Saccharomyces cerevisiae S288C: one gene and its partners. Each later gene encodes a partner of the first gene's protein in a complex. Each region holds a gene or a part of one and is shown in the gene's direction. Other genes may lie near its edges.

Region 1 (4,558 bases):
TGGTAGAGATGATTGAGAAGATGTGAAAAATGATATTAAATTTTGTGAGACTGAAGTGATGAATTCCTCGCCCTTTAACCTAACCTCGTTAATCTGTTCTTCCTTCAAGATCAAGCTTTTTTGGTATGATTCAATAATATTAGAATCACCGATCAAAATGTTTTCTTTTCTTTTTTCATTTATAATGGAATTTTGGTAAGTCCCATCGAGGAACTTTTCAATGTGTTCCCAGAATTCTATAAATTGATCACAAATTTTCCACAGGTCGTTAATATATTTTAAGATTAATAGCCACATTTCAATGATAGTTGGGGAATCAGTTAGTCCTTGAGAGCTGGGTTGGCAATTCAAATTTAGATAGCTGGTTCCAGAAATGGTGTTAACTTTATTGGGTTCAACGGTACTTTTCAAACCTTCACTATCCTTGCCCGTATCACTTATTATTTGGAATAATTGATTGATTTTCAAATAATACGACAGCTCCACGCACCCTTGACTTTTATCTTGATTAGTATTGTTTTGTAATATAAGCCTTTGAGAATGAATGATTTTACTAATCATATGGCCAGACAACTCGTTCAGTTCATTCTGAAAGCCATTCATTTTGATGGACATCCATCTTAGGATTGGATTTTCATTGGATGATGAAGTTGTGTTCTTGTTACCACTTTCACTTTCTCTTTGATTATTATTGATAAAGTTTTCTAAGTTCAACAATTTTGAAAAGAGGGACAAAATTGTTTCTTGGGGTTGGTCAATGTTAAAATTTGAATTTATTAAACTGTTCCAAATCAGATCTTTATACGTGACTAATAAATTTTCTATTTGAGTCCAAATTCTTTTTATAACAAGAGATTGTGAAGCATCTGAACTCTGGTTGAAACGGCGACGGAGCGTAAGACCTTTTGAATATTCGATAATGAACTCATTGAAATCGTTGTTAGTCAAACATCTCTTTAAAGATTTGGGTAGGTTGAAGTAAAACTTATTCAATTCAATAAATTTTTTGGTGGCCTGGTAATTCAAAATTTTCTGATAGTTATCCATTAGCGGTTTCAGTTTGAAAGTTGTTGTTCTAATAACCTCGTCGACCTTTTTATTTAAGCTTTCCACATTTATTTGATTTTCTTTTGGTGAATCACATTGGTTTTTTTCATTCGTTTTCTCGTCAAATTCTTTGTAAATTTGGTCTAACTTGTTTTTAATCTTAACATACTTGGTGAAATTTTTACCAACCAATTGTTTCAAATGTATAGATTGGTCTTGTATATCACTGTCCAACCTGTCCAGTGAGTTATTTAGATCATTGAAAGAGTCTTGTTTGTGCATATCTCTCAGAAAGGCTTTGACGTTGAATTGTTTACTGTTGACAAGATAGTTCAACCGCATTGAATCATTTGGTAGATGTTGCAATTCTTTAGACATTTCTTGTCCATTCAAGGGATCTCTAATATAACTTAACGACTCATCGTTTAAATATGCTCTCGATTCCTTGTCAATGCTAATTTGATTGCCATATTTGAAGTCTTTTAATATGTCGAATGACGTTTCAACGCCAAGTTCATTGCTTGTAGCCTCTTCATTATTCAATTTTGAGGAATCTTGGGCCCAGGAATGGGTCGGATTAATAGTCTTCAACTGATAAAAACGAAGTAGTTGCTCGTCGCCAATTTGAAACCTATCCATGGTACCAAACTTTTTTTCGCTACTTTATTTCAACAGAAACTTCTTTCCTAGTTTAGCAGCTTTAACGCAGCTTATTTTTGTTACTTTAGTTGAATAGTAGGAGTTGATACTTTTGTTTTTTCAAGTTGAAAACAGAAACGAAAAATTAAAGAAGCTGCAGATTCAGCATTCATGCCTAAGCTAAAAAGAACTGGCAGCGAAGAACAGAGGAAAGAATAACTGAAACTATGGATTTTGAGGAAGATTACGATGCGGAGTTTGATGATAATCAAGAAGGACAATTAGAAACACCTTTTCCATCGGTTGCGGGAGCCGATGATGGGGACAATGATAATGATGACTCTGTCGCAGAAAACATGAAGAAGAAGCAAAAGAGAGAGGCTGTAGTGGATGATGGGAGTGAAAATGCATTTGGTATACCCGAATTTACAAGAAAAGATAAGACTCTGGAGGAGATTCTAGAGATGATGGACAGTACTCCTCCTATCATTCCCGATGCAGTAATAGACTACTATTTAACCAAAAACGGGTTTAACGTAGCAGATGTACGAGTGAAACGACTTTTAGCACTTGCTACTCAGAAATTTGTTAGTGATATAGCTAAGGATGCCTACGAATATTCCAGGATCAGGTCTTCCGTAGCGGTATCTAATGCTAACAACAGTCAGGCGAGAGCTAGGCAGCTATTGCAAGGACAGCAACAGCCTGGCGTGCAGCAGATTTCACAACAACAACATCAACAGAATGAGAAGACTACAGCAAGCAAAGTTGTTCTGACGGTGAACGATCTCAGTAGCGCTGTTGCTGAATACGGGCTCAATATAGGTCGCCCAGACTTTTATCGTTAGTGGCTAACAAATGGAAATGAAATATGTATATAGTGTAGCAGTATGCAACTCTTTTAAATACACGATTCGTTATTAGATTGATTAGAGCACTTATTCACGCAAATTTGACACGCTTTTTGAACATCCGTTTTTCACGATTTTTTACTGAAGGATCATGAAAGATTGCCACATAAGAGAACACCTCCGTTGCACCAACACTTCATCACGATAAAAAAACTATCGAGCTATCGTACTACGGAACAACTACATAAGTCAAAAATGGCCATTGATTACTCTAAGTGGGATAAAATTGAACTATCAGATGATTCTGATGTCGAGGTGCATCCTAATGTGGACAAGAAATCGTTCATTAAATGGAAACAACAGAGTATCCATGAACAGCGATTCAAAAGGAACCAAGATATCAAAAATTTGGAGACACAAGTGGATATGTATTCTCATTTGAACAAACGAGTGGACAGAATTTTGAGTAATTTACCTGAAAGTTCTCTTACTGATTTGCCAGCCGTTACCAAATTCTTGAATGCAAATTTTGATAAGATGGAGAAAAGTAAAGGGGAAAATGTTGATCCTGAGATTGCAACATACAATGAAATGGTTGAAGATCTTTTTGAACAATTAGCAAAAGATTTAGACAAAGAGGGCAAAGACTCGAAGAGCCCATCTCTCATAAGGGATGCTATTTTGAAACATAGGGCTAAGATCGATTCAGTAACTGTAGAGGCTAAGAAGAAATTAGATGAATTATACAAGGAGAAAAATGCACACATTTCATCTGAAGACATTCATACAGGCTTTGATAGTAGCTTTATGAACAAGCAAAAGGGGGGGGCTAAGCCACTGGAAGCAACTCCTTCAGAAGCTCTTTCGAGCGCTGCAGAGTCTAATATTCTTAATAAACTAGCAAAATCATCAGTTCCGCAAACTTTCATCGATTTTAAAGATGATCCTATGAAACTGGCCAAGGAAACTGAAGAATTCGGTAAAATATCCATTAATGAGTACTCAAAATCTCAGAAATTCTTACTGGAGCACTTACCTATTATTTCAGAACAACAAAAGGACGCCTTAATGATGAAGGCCTTTGAGTATCAGTTACATGGTGACGATAAGATGACTTTGCAAGTCATTCATCAATCCGAATTGATGGCCTACATTAAGGAAATCTACGACATGAAGAAAATTCCATATTTAAATCCAATGGAACTATCAAATGTCATTAATATGTTTTTCGAGAAGGTTATCTTCAACAAGGACAAGCCAATGGGTAAAGAGTCTTTTTTGAGATCAGTTCAAGAAAAATTTTTGCACATTCAAAAACGTTCCAAAATTTTACAACAAGAGGAAATGGATGAATCGAATGCTGAAGGAGTAGAGACGATTCAATTGAAATCTCTAGATGATTCTACAGAATTAGAAGTAAACTTGCCAGACTTCAATTCTAAAGATCCAGAAGAGATGAAAAAGGTTAAAGTTTTCAAAACTTTAATACCGGAAAAAATGCAAGAAGCCATAATGACCAAAAATTTGGATAATATTAATAAAGTCTTTGAAGATATACCAATTGAAGAGGCTGAGAAACTTTTGGAAGTGTTTAATGACATTGACATTATTGGAATAAAAGCGATCTTAGAAAACGAGAAAGACTTTCAAAGTTTGAAAGATCAATACGAACAGGACCATGAAGACGCCACTATGGAGAATCTGTCCTTAAACGACCGTGATGGTGGCGGAGATAACCATGAAGAGGTCAAACATACTGCCGACACTGTTGACTAGAAATTTATGTAGCTATTTTACTGGTGCAGCGTGCATCTACTTCCTTTTTTATTGTTATTTTCATTTATACATAATACAAAAAAAAAAAAGAAGAAAATTAATGATCAATAAAGAAAATCGTGAAATTACAGCAGAGGTTTTGTACCTGCTTTCCTACGTTAGTACATAATATCTTATTTTTTATTAGTGCATGTTTTTCTCAGTGTGTGTTTTTGTAATTTGTATATACTACACAAAGAATCGGA
Region 2 (7,576 bases), on another chromosome or scaffold:
AAGGATCAATGGTCTCCAGCTCTAACTCTATCGAAGGTCCTATTATCCATCTGTTCTTTGTTAACAGACGCTAATCCTGACGATCCTTTAGTACCAGAAATCGCTCATATCTACAAGACTGACAGACCCAAGTACGAAGCTACAGCCAGAGAATGGACAAAGAAATACGCTGTATAAACAGAAGTCCTTACTCAGCTGAAAAAGAGAAGCAAGATTTATATGGGATTGGACGATGAAAAGAATATTAGATACAATGTATTTAAGAAAGAATACAATAAAATATATGTATATTCTATCTCTAATAACATAGATTTACTGATATAAGATATAAGACTATTGTTGGCAACAGTACAGGGGAACCTTTTTTTTTTTTTCCAAACAACTCGAATCGTAAACCTTAATTTAATTTATTCAGGGGAGATTCATGAACATTTTTTTCCTCGAACAGTATGGAGAATTTTTGCTTAGTTACATGCACGCAAGCGCGGGTATATCCCGCATATATTTCAGTTGTGGTTCATATTTGACCTAACTTGTCGAGGGAGCGTCAACGTTAACCGTACCTTTTTCATTTCTAGTCTATCTGTAGGTTAATTACTATTGTCATTAACATCATTTCTGGGGTGAAGCCTATTTAAATTTTTGAAGTTCAACGCATAGCTAGTATATGTAATCAACGATCAATGACTGGTTCTCTGTTTGGCAAAAATTCTGAGGAGCATTACACTGTACTAAGGAGGCAGAAGAATAACTGCAGGAGTAGCCAAAAAAATCTCCGCGACGGGGAATTGAACCCCGATCTGGCACGCGACAAGCGCCCATTCTGACCATTAAACTATCACGGAAGAAACAAAGCACTCACGATGGGGGTCGAACCCATAATCTTCTGATTAGAAGTCAGACGCGTTGCCATTACGCCACGCGAGCTACTATTTGTTGAAGGTTTTATGAAATAACGAAAACATGTTTCCTCTAAAGATGGATGTGCTTCCAGTATTATTCTTGTATGACAATTCATTTGTTTTTGGTGTCGGCTTGTATTAAAGACTTATATCTGTAATATATCTGTATAAATACCAATGCAAGGATATATTAAATGAAAGTTAGCATATTTCAATTGGCTTTTTAGAATAAAGACGAAATTTTTTTAAAGGTAAAATACCCCACTGAAACCTTATGCTCTTTTATTGTACATATAGGAAAATTGGTCAAATGCTGGCCAGCTTTAACTGAAATAAATCTCTACAGGAATGCTTGTTGGGACTAACTCCAGTGAATAATTATTAGGGCTGCGATTATATTCTTGATGGTACGGGTAACTTTCTAATATTTCAGATCCAAGTAATGAAAAGTGAATGTACACTCGTAAGTCTTCAATTATGTTAGATGTACAAAGGAAAAAAGATCATTGGAGAAGTTGGCAAAATACATCTTTTATTTATTTAGCAAGTCAAACAATAAGATCTTTCCTTTTTTCAGATTGAACTTCGGATCAGTGAAAATTGTTGGTTACTCTTTAAACTGTAACACTACAAAGAAATTAAGTCTGAATAATGACTGAAAGAATACCAATAAAGAATTATCAAAGAACAAATGCCAAAGCTTTACTTAAATTGACTGAAAAACTTTTTAACAAGAACTTTTTTGATCTCTATTTAACCTCTCAGCAATTGGTCGTTCTTGAATACCTGCTGTCGATTTCAAGTGAAGAAGACAAACTGAAAGCATGGGACTATTTCTTAAAGGGAAACATAGCATTAAATGTCGAAAAATCATTTCCATTAACCCAAGAAGAAGAACATCACGGAGCGGTCTCTCCTGCCGTTGACACACGATCAGATGATGTATCATCACAAACAATTAAGGACAATAACAATACTAATACCAACACCAGTATCAGCAATGAAAATCATGTTGAAAATGAAATTGAAGATAAAGGCGATAACGCAATAGCAAATGAAGATAATTTTGTGAATAATGACGAAAGTGATAATGTTGAAGAAGACTTATTCAAATTAGATCTAGAGGACTTGAAGCAGCAAATAAGCGGAACAAGGTTTATTGGAAACTTATCCTTGAAAATCAGATACGTCTTGTGGCAGTGCGCCATAGATTATATATACTGTGATCGTAATGAGTTTGGTGATGAAAATGATACAGAATACACCCTATTAGATGTTGAAGAGAAGGAGGAAGAGGAAATTGGTAAAAATGAGAAGCCACAAAACAAAGAAGGTATTTCGAAGTTCGCCGAGGATGAAGATTACGACGATGAAGACGAGAACTATGATGAAGACAGTACAGACGTAAAAAATGTCGATGATCCTCCAAAAAATCTCGATTCTATTTCCTCTTCTAATATCGAAATTGACGATGAACGACGCTTGGTGCTAAATATCTCAATATCAAAAGAAACACTGTCAAAGTTAAAAACAAATAATGTAGAAGAAATTATGGGAAATTGGAACAAAATTTACCACAGTTTTGAATACGATAAAGAAACTATGATAAAGCGATTAAAACTTGAAGAAAGCGATAAAATGATAGAGAAAGGAAAGAAGAAACGAAGTCGAAGTGATTTAGAAGCAGCTACCGATGAACAAGATCGCGAAAATACAAATGATGAGCCAGATACTAATCAAAAATTGCCCACTCCTGAAGGTTCAACATTCAGCGATACTGGGAACAAGCGCCCCAAACAAAGTAATTTAGATTTAACAGTCAATCTAGGCATCGAAAATTTATCATTAAAGCACCTTCTATCATCTATCCAGCAAAAAAAATCCCAATTAGGAATATCAGATTACGAATTAAAACATCTGATTATGGATGTCAGAAAAAATCGGTCAAAATGGACATCGGATGAAAGAATTGGGCAAGAGGAATTATACGAAGCCTGTGAAAAGGTTGTTTTGGAACTTAGAAACTACACTGAGCATTCTACACCATTTCTGAATAAAGTGAGCAAAAGAGAAGCCCCCAATTATCATCAAATCATCAAAAAGTCCATGGACCTGAATACTGTTTTAAAAAAACTGAAAAGCTTTCAATATGACTCCAAACAAGAATTTGTAGACGATATTATGCTAATATGGAAAAATTGTTTGACCTATAATTCAGATCCTTCACATTTTTTGAGAGGGCATGCTATTGCTATGCAGAAGAAATCTCTTCAGTTGATTCGCATGATTCCAAATATCACAATCCGAAACAGGGCTGATTTAGAAAAGGAAATTGAAGATATGGAAAAAGACAAAGACTACGAATTAGATGAGGAAGAGGAAGTTGCTGGTTCTGGAAGAAAAGGATTGAATATGGGAGCTCATATGTTGGCCAAAGAGAATGGCAAGGTGTCAGAAAAAGATAGCTCTAAAACCGTCAAGGATGAAGCACCAACCAATGATGACAAACTAACTTCTGTCATCCCTGAGGGGGAAAAAGAGAAAGATAAAACTGCTTCATCTACTGTAACGGTACACGAAAATGTAAATAAGAACGAAATAAAAGAAAATGGGAAAAATGAAGAGCAAGATATGGTTGAGGAAAGTAGTAAGACTGAGGATTCATCAAAAGATGCTGATGCTGCCAAAAAGGATACGGAAGACGGACTACAAGATAAAACTGCAGAAAATAAGGAGGCTGGGGAAAATAATGAAGAGGAAGAGGATGATGATGACGAAGATGAAGACGAAGACATGGTCGACTCCCAATCTTATTTACTTGAAAAGGATGACGATAGAGACGATTTGGAAATATCCGTGTGGAAAACTGTAACTGCCAAAGTTCGTGCGGAAATTTGCTTAAAAAGAACTGAATATTTTAAAAATGGAAAATTAAATAGTGATTCAGAGGCGTTTTTGAAAAACCCACAAAGAATGAAAAGGTTCGACCAGCTTTTTCTTGAATATAAAGAGCAGAAAGCTTTAGAATCATATCGTCAAAAAATAGAGCAAAATTCCATTATGAAAAATGGCTTTGGAACAGTACTAAAACAGGAAGACGATGACCAATTGCAGTTTCATAATGATCACTCTTTAAATGGAAATGAAGCTTTTGAAAAGCAACCCAATGATATTGAGTTAGATGATACCAGATTCCTACAGGAATATGATATTAGTAACGCCATTCCTGACATAGTATACGAGGGAGTAAATACTAAAACATTAGACAAGATGGAAGACGCTTCCGTGGACCGCATGCTTCAAAATGGTATCAACAAACAAAGCAGATTTCTGGCTAACAAGGATTTAGGACTAACACCTAAAATGAACCAAAATATCACACTGATTCAGCAAATTAGGCACATATGCCATAAAATATCCCTGATCAGAATGTTACAGAGCCCTTTATCGGCTCAAAACTCCAGAAGCAATCCCAACGCTTTCCTTAACAACCACATTTATAATTACACTATTATTGATGACTCACTCGATATTGATCCGGTGTCACAGCTTCCAACGCATGATTACAAAAACAACAGGGAGCTGATATGGAAATTCATGCATAAGAACATATCTAAGGTTGCTATGGCCAATGGGTTTGAAACTGCCCATCCATCAGCAATAAACATGCTTACTGAAATCGCCGGGGATTACCTATCTAATCTGATAAAGACTTTGAAGCTTCATCATGAAACTAACTCCTTAAATAGAGGAACAAATGTGGAAATGCTGCAAACAACACTGTTGGAAAACGGTATCAACAGGCCAGACGATCTATTTTCCTATGTTGAATCTGAATTTGGTAAAAAAACTAAGAAACTTCAGGACATCAAACAGAAACTAGAAAGCTTTTTGAGAGCCTTATTAAGGCCAACTTTGCAGGAGTTGTCCGAGAGAAACTTTGAAGACGAGAGCCAAAGCTTTTTTACAGGTGACTTTGCCAGCGAATTGACTGGTGAAGACTTCTTTGGTTTTAGAGAGCTTGGATTAGAAAAGGAGTTTGGAGTTTTGAGTTCATCTGTTCCATTACAGTTACTGACTACTCAGTTTCAAACTGTTGACGGGGAAACCAAAGTGCAGGCCAAAAAGATCCAACCGGAAGAATCAGACAGCATTGTGTATAAGAAAATTACAAAAGGTATGCTGGATGCTGGTTCATTCTGGAATACTCTACTTCCCCTATTACAAAAAGATTATGAACGTTCCAAGGCCTATATAGCAAAGCAAAGCAAGTCATCTGCAAATGATAAAACCTCAATGACTTCCACAGAAGACAATTCTTTCGCTTTACTAGAAGAGGATCAGTTTGTCTCAAAGAAAACCGCAACGAAGGCAAGATTACCTCCTACTGGTAAGATAAGTACCACATACAAAAAGAAACCGATCGCAAGCGCGTTTATACTTCCAGAAGAAGACTTGGAAAACGACGTAAAAGCGGATCCAACAACAACTGTAAACGCCAAAGTGGGTGCAGAAAATGATGGAGATTCTTCCTTATTTTTGCGAACGCCTCAACCTTTAGATCCTTTGGATATGGATGATGCTTTTGATGATACCAATATGGGCAGCAATAGTTCATTTAGCTTGAGCCTTCCTCGCCTTAATCAATAATGAGCGCGCTAAATAGTTGAATATTTTATCTTTAATTAAATACATTTGCTTATAAAGGTTGTACTATTTACTTGTAGTTGATGTAGGATTCCAATTCAATGCACTTTAATACTCAGAGTACGCTTTATACTTCTGCAGTACCCTCTCTAAAATGTCACCTAGTATTTTTTTCTCTTTACACAAGCGTAGCGTCACTAAAAAAAGGTATTTCCCATGGGTTAATTCGGTATCACACTATACGTTAGGCGTACCAAATTTCGAGATTCATGAAATTGGCTTATTCGTAGCCTTTAAGTACTACCGTTGTTTCTCTCAAAGATAAGAGCAAATAGTACCGTATATTCAGCCTTTATAAATTGAGTATGTTCAAGATACCTGGTTTTGGAAAAGCTGCTGCAAATCATACTCCACCAGATATGACAAACATGGATACCCGTACACGCCATTTAAAGGTGTCAAACTGTCCAAATAACTCCTATGCACTCGCAAACGTAGCTGCTGTCTCACCAAATGATTTCCCTAATAACATTTATATTATTATCGATAATTTATTTGTTTTCACAACTAGACACTCCAACGACATTCCACCGGGAACCATTGGATTTAACGGTAACCAGCGTACCTGGGGTGGTTGGTCCCTAAATCAAGACGTGCAAGCAAAAGCATTTGATTTATTCAAGTATTCCGGTAAGCAATCGTATCTTGGTTCAATAGATATAGATATCTCATTCAGAGCTAGAGGTAAGGCGGTAAGCACGGTATTCGATCAAGATGAGTTAGCCAAACAATTTGTTCGTTGCTACGAATCTCAAATATTTTCTCCCACCCAGTACCTTATCATGGAGTTCCAAGGCCATTTCTTTGACTTAAAAATTAGAAATGTCCAAGCAATCGATTTGGGTGATATTGAACCAACCTCCGCTGTTGCAACTGGGATAGAGACAAAGGGAATTTTGACAAAACAAACACAAATTAATTTTTTCAAAGGAAGAGATGGTTTAGTTAATTTGAAATCATCAAATTCATTAAGACCAAGATCAAATGCTGTGATCAGACCGGATTTCAAGTTTGAAGATTTGGGTGTCGGTGGTTTGGATAAAGAGTTTACTAAAATTTTCAGAAGAGCGTTTGCAAGTCGAATCTTTCCTCCTTCAGTTATAGAAAAACTGGGTATTTCTCATGTTAAAGGTTTGCTATTGTACGGTCCTCCAGGTACTGGTAAGACCTTAATTGCAAGAAAGATTGGTACAATGCTGAATGCCAAAGAGCCCAAAATCGTCAATGGTCCAGAAATTTTGAGTAAGTACGTTGGTTCTTCAGAAGAAAACATTCGTAATTTATTTAAGGATGCAGAAGCAGAATATAGGGCCAAGGGTGAGGAATCTTCCTTACATATTATTATTTTCGATGAGCTGGATTCTGTTTTCAAGCAGAGAGGTTCAAGAGGTGATGGTACCGGTGTAGGGGACAATGTAGTTAATCAATTGTTAGCTAAAATGGATGGTGTTGATCAATTGAATAATATTTTGGTTATTGGTATGACCAATCGTAAAGATTTAATAGACAGTGCTCTTTTGCGTCCAGGTAGATTTGAAGTCCAAGTTGAAATTCATTTACCCGATGAAAAAGGAAGACTCCAAATTTTCGACATTCAGACGAAGAAAATGAGGGAAAATAATATGATGAGCGACGATGTTAACTTAGCTGAGTTAGCTGCGTTAACAAAAAACTTCTCTGGTGCTGAGATTGAGGGTTTAGTGAAGAGTGCAAGTTCTTTTGCAATCAACAAAACCGTCAACATCGGGAAAGGTGCCACAAAACTTAACACTAAAGATATAGCAAAACTTAAAGTAACAAGAGAAGACTTTTTAAATGCACTCAACGATGTTACTCCCGCTTTTGGGATTAGTGAAGAAGATTTGAAAACATGTGTGGAAGGTGGAATGATGCTTTATTCCGAACGAGTTAACTCAATATTGAAGAACGGAGCCCGTTACGTCCGCCAAGTTCGCGAGAGTGATAAA
Region 3 (4,558 bases), 470 kb from region 1:
GGGGCATATTTCAAAAGATTTAAAACGCGCAGTGAAATCAATGACGATGCACCGGCAACGATAGCATTCGTTGTTGCAATAGCCGGGATAATGTTACCAGCAATTTGCTTGATGTCAAATACGGACTTCATTGGAATATTGAATATGTGTGACCTTATGTTCGCAGCAGTTGCGACGAATTCCAAAGTATCAGCATCATCTTTATCAAATTCAATATGATTTTGCTCTTTGGGATAGCGATCCATTAATTTTTGTGTAATATTAATGAAATTACTAATTTGCTCCTGTATTGTGCCAACAGAATTAGAGGCAGACTGAGCTGTTTTAGTAGGAGTATTTATTTGAGAGTCTGATAATGGTACTGGCTTTGTTCTCGTTTTCCATAAATTTTCAATGGCTAGCAGTTTATTTATATCCTGAATGAATAATTTATTAAGAATCTCTGGAATACGGGATGCATCTCTTGATATGATAATTTTTTGCAATTCATACAATTCATTAGTTTCTTGTTTAATGCGCTTAATTTCTTCAGCATCATCTGTACCCCAATCCTGGTTGTTATCATCTTCATTTCCAGAGGTCTCTGACGCAAATAGCTGGTTAAATAGAAAGTTTTTCGCCCAAACAATGCAATGAATTGGCTGAGAAGGAGTGGACCTGATAGTACACACAGGAAAAGTCTTTGGTGTTTCCTTCTTTGTACATTCAAAACACTCAGTTTTCCCGGGGATAATAGGCTGCATGTATCCATCAAATCCAGCTGTTCCAGATTCTATTAAGGGCAGTGATAGAAACTGTGATATTTTATTGACATACCGTCTTGCGGCCAAGTTATCAAGAGCATTGAAGATAATGTCAAATTGCTCAAACCAATGCAGTGGGAAGGTAGAAATGTCCATAACATTTCCTTGGTAAGGCACTAACTTAGAGTTATTGAAATGCTGTACTGCTTTTACGGCTGTGGTAGACTTCGGTTGTTTAATATCTTTTTGTCTAAAAAGAAATTGCCTGTTTAAGTTCGAAAGGTCAATGGTGTCCAAATCGACAATATGTATTTCACCAAATTCCATCAAGATTATATCCTTTAACAATTCAGACCCTATGCCCCCAGCACCGACCAGAAGACATCTTGAGGACCGTAATTTCTTGTAACTATCTTCACCGATGATTGTTACCAAACTTGTTTCCCTTGGCATTTTCTTTTCTTGTTTGGCGTAGCGCTCCTGATCTTGTGTGTCTGTTGAAGTACGCAATTAGTGGATTGCTCATCCAAATATCTTGATTTAGCGTAAACATACTTCGCCTTTGAAAAACTTTAACTTGAAAATAGAGTATAAAAAAAAATTGCACAAAAAATGCGGAAGCCGGGAATCGAACCCGGGCCCCATGCTTGGGAAGCATGAATTCTAACCACTGAACCACTTTCGCTAAGAAGATCTAGCTTACATAGGTTTTGTGGTAATATAAATTCTTGAGACCGTAACCGCGCAAAGAAATACCTAAAATAGTAATTGCTAACTACATCTAAAAACAGACTGAAGCTCACTAGATATGAGACTTTTCTCACATCTTCAAAATAAAGAAAACAATAGCAGGCGAAATTTTTTTGAACCTGGTTATACAGTGCATGCTCCAAAATGTCGTCTTTAAACACTACTTTTTATTCTAAATAATTACTTGAAGGGGGGAAAGAAAAAGCTCAAAAACTACTCTTTTAAGACTTTATTACCGTCCTTATGATATATCATTAAATAGGCTGTGAACCCTTCACCATTCGGATCGCAATTGCCGTTAGAGTCGACCTCACACTCACCGTATTTGAACGTCATGTAATTTCTAAATCCAAAATATTCGTACACAGATTTAGCATGCTCGGCAATAGCTTCAAGGACAATGGCGCAATTTTCTTCGTCTGCTCTCCTTTTGTACTCTTCAAAAATAGTCCTTACAGAACCTCTGATTCCTTTCTCATTTAAGTTCTTACCAATACAGAAAAGATAGTAGTAATTGATGCCATTTGGAATGACTTGCTTTACGCGAGCATTTAAATCGTCAATAAAGTCCTTGTTGAACTTTGCATCATTACTCCTTGCCTTCGGAACGTGAGGTGGAAGACTCCACACTGCAACAGCATCGAAAGTATTAACTTCGGAGATCTCACCATAAGGTGAATCCAGGAATGGCGATATGATATCGGTGGTTATTGTCCTTGTAGGCACCTTCTCAGCTAGAGGAATATTTAAGATTTTCTTGCAGATAAAATGAAACGCTGGCGAGTTACTAAAAGCAATAGACAAAGTCTCTGCTGCTCTTCTGGCATCCGTAGTCTTGTTCAGGGTACAGACCATATGGCCCTTAGCATCGTTGTTTTCTAATGGAGTTGGCAGTTTGTTCTCGAAGGACATGATGTTCGGTTACATGTCTTAGAATTATTTTCTCGAGATTAGTGAGTGACTTGGCATAATATCAGGTACAATAACTGTTATATATACGCCGGCGGCATTTCATTTTTTTCACTTATCTCAGCCCCTGGGACTCTGATGCCGTTCACACCAACGTCTGCTGTGATTTGGAGTGAAATATCTGGATACTAATAGAAATATTACGATAAAAAAGAGTTATCTACAGTTTGCTGCATTATTTTTGCGTTATCGGTCAATCAACTTTAAGAGATCACCGTACATTTCCGGCAGCATTAGCGGGCGTCTCTTAGTTTCTTTGCAATACAGTAGGAACTCCAATTTTTTGTTCGTCTCCTCGCTACATTCAGATTCAACTGCAATCTCGAAAACAAGTTTTTTATGCCGCCAAAATAGGTATACATTGCGTTCAATGCATTCTCATTCATCTCTATCGCAAGAACGTCTTGTTCAAAGCTGCCCTTTCTTGAGGCTTCAAGCGCAGCGCACAGAAAAGAAGAAAATCCGAACCATGTAATATAGATCGGCGGAAACGAAAAGTAAAAAGTAAGGTTGAAGACACTCTGAACCCGGGGAAGAGTGCATACAAGGTACCGTGCCAAAATTCAAGAGATTAGGGCAGGAATGATGGACAAGCATAAGTATCGTGTGGAGATTCAACAGATGATGTTTGTCTCTGGTGAAATTAACGACCCACCCGTAGAAACCACATCACTGATAGAAGATATAGTGAGGGGTCAAGTGATAGAAATTCTTTTACAGTCAAACAAAACGGCGCATCTTAGGGGAAGTAGGAGCATTCTCCCTGAAGACGTCATTTTCTTGATCAGACACGACAAGGCCAAAGTCAATCGTTTGAGAACATATCTGTCATGGAAGGATTTGCGTAAAAACGCCAAGGACCAAGATGCTAGTGCCGGTGTAGCGAGTGGCACTGGAAATCCTGGGGCAGGTGGTGAAGATGATTTGAAAAAAGCAGGTGGTGGCGAGAAAGACGAAAAAGATGGTGGAAACATGATGAAGGTCAAGAAATCCCAAATTAAGCTGCCATGGGAATTGCAGTTTATGTTCAATGAACATCCTTTAGAAAATAATGACGACAATGATGATATGGATGAGGATGAACGAGAAGCTAATATAGTCACTTTGAAAAGGCTGAAAATGGCTGACGATAGAACACGAAACATGACTAAAGAGGAGTACGTGCATTGGTCCGATTGTCGACAGGCAAGTTTTACATTTAGGAAGAATAAAAGGTTCAAGGACTGGTCTGGAATTTCGCAATTAACTGAGGGGAAACCCCATGATGATGTGATTGATATACTGGGGTTTCTAACTTTTGAGATTGTCTGTTCTTTGACGGAAACAGCTCTGAAAATCAAACAAAGAGAACAGGTATTACAGACTCAAAAGGACAAATCCCAGCAATCTAGCCAAGATAATACTAACTTTGAATTTGCATCATCCACATTACATAGAAAGAAAAGATTATTTGATGGACCTGAAAATGTTATAAACCCGCTCAAACCAAGGCATATAGAGGAAGCCTGGAGAGTACTACAAACAATTGACATGAGGCATAGGGCTTTGACCAACTTTAAAGGTGGTAGACTCAGTTCTAAACCAATTATCATGTAAATTTTTGTATAATTTCATCATGGAGGTGCATGGGTTTCCTTCTGGTATGATAAATGTGAGCCAAATGAATTGAAAAATACAAATAAAGATTATGTACGTAGATACGCGTTATAAAGAGGACTATCTGATCATTGGGGTCTTTTTCGTTGTGAAATTGTAACGGGTGAACTCAGTGATTAAAAAATTGCGTGATGTTGAGATACTATGGGGCGACAAGAAACTTACCCTTAGTATTCAGCATTAACAAATTAATGTTGAGGGCGTCATCTTTCACCAGGCCATTTCATTATAGTTCATATTCTCTACAGAACGGTGATACTCCTGATAAAGGCAGCACTAATAAAAATGAAATACGGACACCTAATAACGCTGTTTGGAAAGAAAATATAGAACTTCAATGGCAGCACTTGAAAAAGAAATTAAATGAATTGTATTCTAGGTTTAACTTCCACCGAGATCAATTATCCTTTCAAGTTAACAAGGCCAAAAAATCAATTCAA

What was found.
Region 2: the proteins of TAF10 (region 1) and SPT7 are in contact, whole or in part, in a cryo-EM structure (PDB 6T9I), measured with the Saccharomyces cerevisiae proteins. Residues at the interface, in NP_010451.3 of Saccharomyces cerevisiae: Arg69 (codon at 2,118), Asp71 (codon at 2,124), Lys72 (codon at 2,127), Leu74 (codon at 2,133), Glu75 (codon at 2,136), Ile77 (codon at 2,142), Met80 (codon at 2,151), Ser83 (codon at 2,160), Thr84 (codon at 2,163), Pro85 (codon at 2,166), Pro86 (codon at 2,169), Ile87 (codon at 2,172), Ile88 (codon at 2,175), Pro89 (codon at 2,178), Asp90 (codon at 2,181), Ala91 (codon at 2,184), Val92 (codon at 2,187), Ile93 (codon at 2,190), Asp94 (codon at 2,193), Tyr95 (codon at 2,196), Tyr96 (codon at 2,199), Leu97 (codon at 2,202), Thr98 (codon at 2,205), Asn100 (codon at 2,211), Gly101 (codon at 2,214), Phe102 (codon at 2,217), Val109 (codon at 2,238), Leu112 (codon at 2,247), Leu113 (codon at 2,250), Leu115 (codon at 2,256); in NP_009637.1 of Saccharomyces cerevisiae: Arg892 (codon at 4,227), Phe893 (codon at 4,230), Asn896 (codon at 4,239), Leu899 (codon at 4,248), Gly900 (codon at 4,251), Leu901 (codon at 4,254), Thr902 (codon at 4,257), Met905 (codon at 4,266), His920 (codon at 4,311), Ile922 (codon at 4,317), Ser923 (codon at 4,320), Ile925 (codon at 4,326), Arg926 (codon at 4,329), Met927 (codon at 4,332), Gln929 (codon at 4,338), Ser930 (codon at 4,341), Lys973 (codon at 4,470), Asn974 (codon at 4,473), Arg976 (codon at 4,479), Ile979 (codon at 4,488), Phe982 (codon at 4,497), Met983 (codon at 4,500), Asn986 (codon at 4,509), Val990 (codon at 4,521), Ala991 (codon at 4,524), Asn994 (codon at 4,533), Gly995 (codon at 4,536), Phe996 (codon at 4,539), Glu997 (codon at 4,542), Thr998 (codon at 4,545).
Region 3: the proteins of TAF10 (region 1) and SPT3 are in contact, whole or in part, in a cryo-EM structure (PDB 6T9I), measured with the Saccharomyces cerevisiae proteins. Residues at the interface, in NP_010451.3 of Saccharomyces cerevisiae: Phe120 (codon at 2,271), Ile124 (codon at 2,283), Asp127 (codon at 2,292), Tyr129 (codon at 2,298), Glu130 (codon at 2,301), Tyr131 (codon at 2,304), Arg133 (codon at 2,310), Ile134 (codon at 2,313), Arg135 (codon at 2,316), Ser137 (codon at 2,322), Val140 (codon at 2,331), Asn142 (codon at 2,337), Ala143 (codon at 2,340), Asn144 (codon at 2,343), Ser146 (codon at 2,349), Gln147 (codon at 2,352), Arg149 (codon at 2,358), Ala150 (codon at 2,361), Leu154 (codon at 2,373), Thr176 (codon at 2,439), Val181 (codon at 2,454), Glu194 (codon at 2,493), Tyr195 (codon at 2,496), Gly196 (codon at 2,499), Leu197 (codon at 2,502); in NP_010680.1 of Saccharomyces cerevisiae: Thr50 (codon at 3,192), Leu53 (codon at 3,201), Arg54 (codon at 3,204), Glu62 (codon at 3,228), Phe66 (codon at 3,240), Arg69 (codon at 3,249), His70 (codon at 3,252), Lys140 (codon at 3,462), Leu141 (codon at 3,465), Pro142 (codon at 3,468), Trp143 (codon at 3,471), Glu144 (codon at 3,474), Phe147 (codon at 3,483), Met148 (codon at 3,486), Phe149 (codon at 3,489), Asn150 (codon at 3,492), His152 (codon at 3,498), Pro153 (codon at 3,501), Leu154 (codon at 3,504), Arg318 (codon at 3,996), His319 (codon at 3,999), Arg320 (codon at 4,002), Ala321 (codon at 4,005), Leu322 (codon at 4,008), Lys326 (codon at 4,020), Leu330 (codon at 4,032).

What each region holds. Positions count from the first base shown.
Region 1 is NC_001136.10:787,536-792,093, forward strand, and holds TAF10 (Taf10p), read left to right. Parts: upstream 1-1,913; coding exon 1,914-2,534; downstream 2,535-4,558. Other genes in the region: exocyst subunit SEC5, read right to left, coding at 1-1,686; Hsp90 co-chaperone CDC37, read left to right, coding at 2,793-4,313.
Region 2 is NC_001134.8:399,229-406,804, reverse strand, and holds SPT7 (SAGA histone acetyltransferase complex subunit SPT7), read left to right. Parts: upstream 1-1,553; coding exon 1,554-5,552; downstream 5,553-7,576. Other genes in the region: E2 ubiquitin-conjugating protein UBC4, read left to right, coding at 1-177; AAA family ATPase SEC18, read left to right, coding at 5,915-7,576. UniProt on the Saccharomyces cerevisiae protein: Component of the transcription coactivator SAGA complex. SAGA acts as a general cofactor required for essentially all RNA polymerase II transcription. At the promoters, SAGA is required for transcription pre-initiation complex (PIC) recruitment.
Region 3 is NC_001136.10:1,255,652-1,260,209, forward strand, and holds SPT3 (transcriptional regulator SPT3), read left to right. Parts: upstream 1-3,044; coding exon 3,045-4,058; downstream 4,059-4,558. Other genes in the region: E1 ubiquitin-activating protein UBA2, read right to left, coding at 1-1,196; IAT4 (Iat4p), read right to left, coding at 1,707-2,405; SHE9 (She9p), read left to right, coding at 4,250-4,558. UniProt on the Saccharomyces cerevisiae protein: Component of the transcription coactivator SAGA complex. SAGA acts as a general cofactor required for essentially all RNA polymerase II transcription. At the promoters, SAGA is required for transcription pre-initiation complex (PIC) recruitment.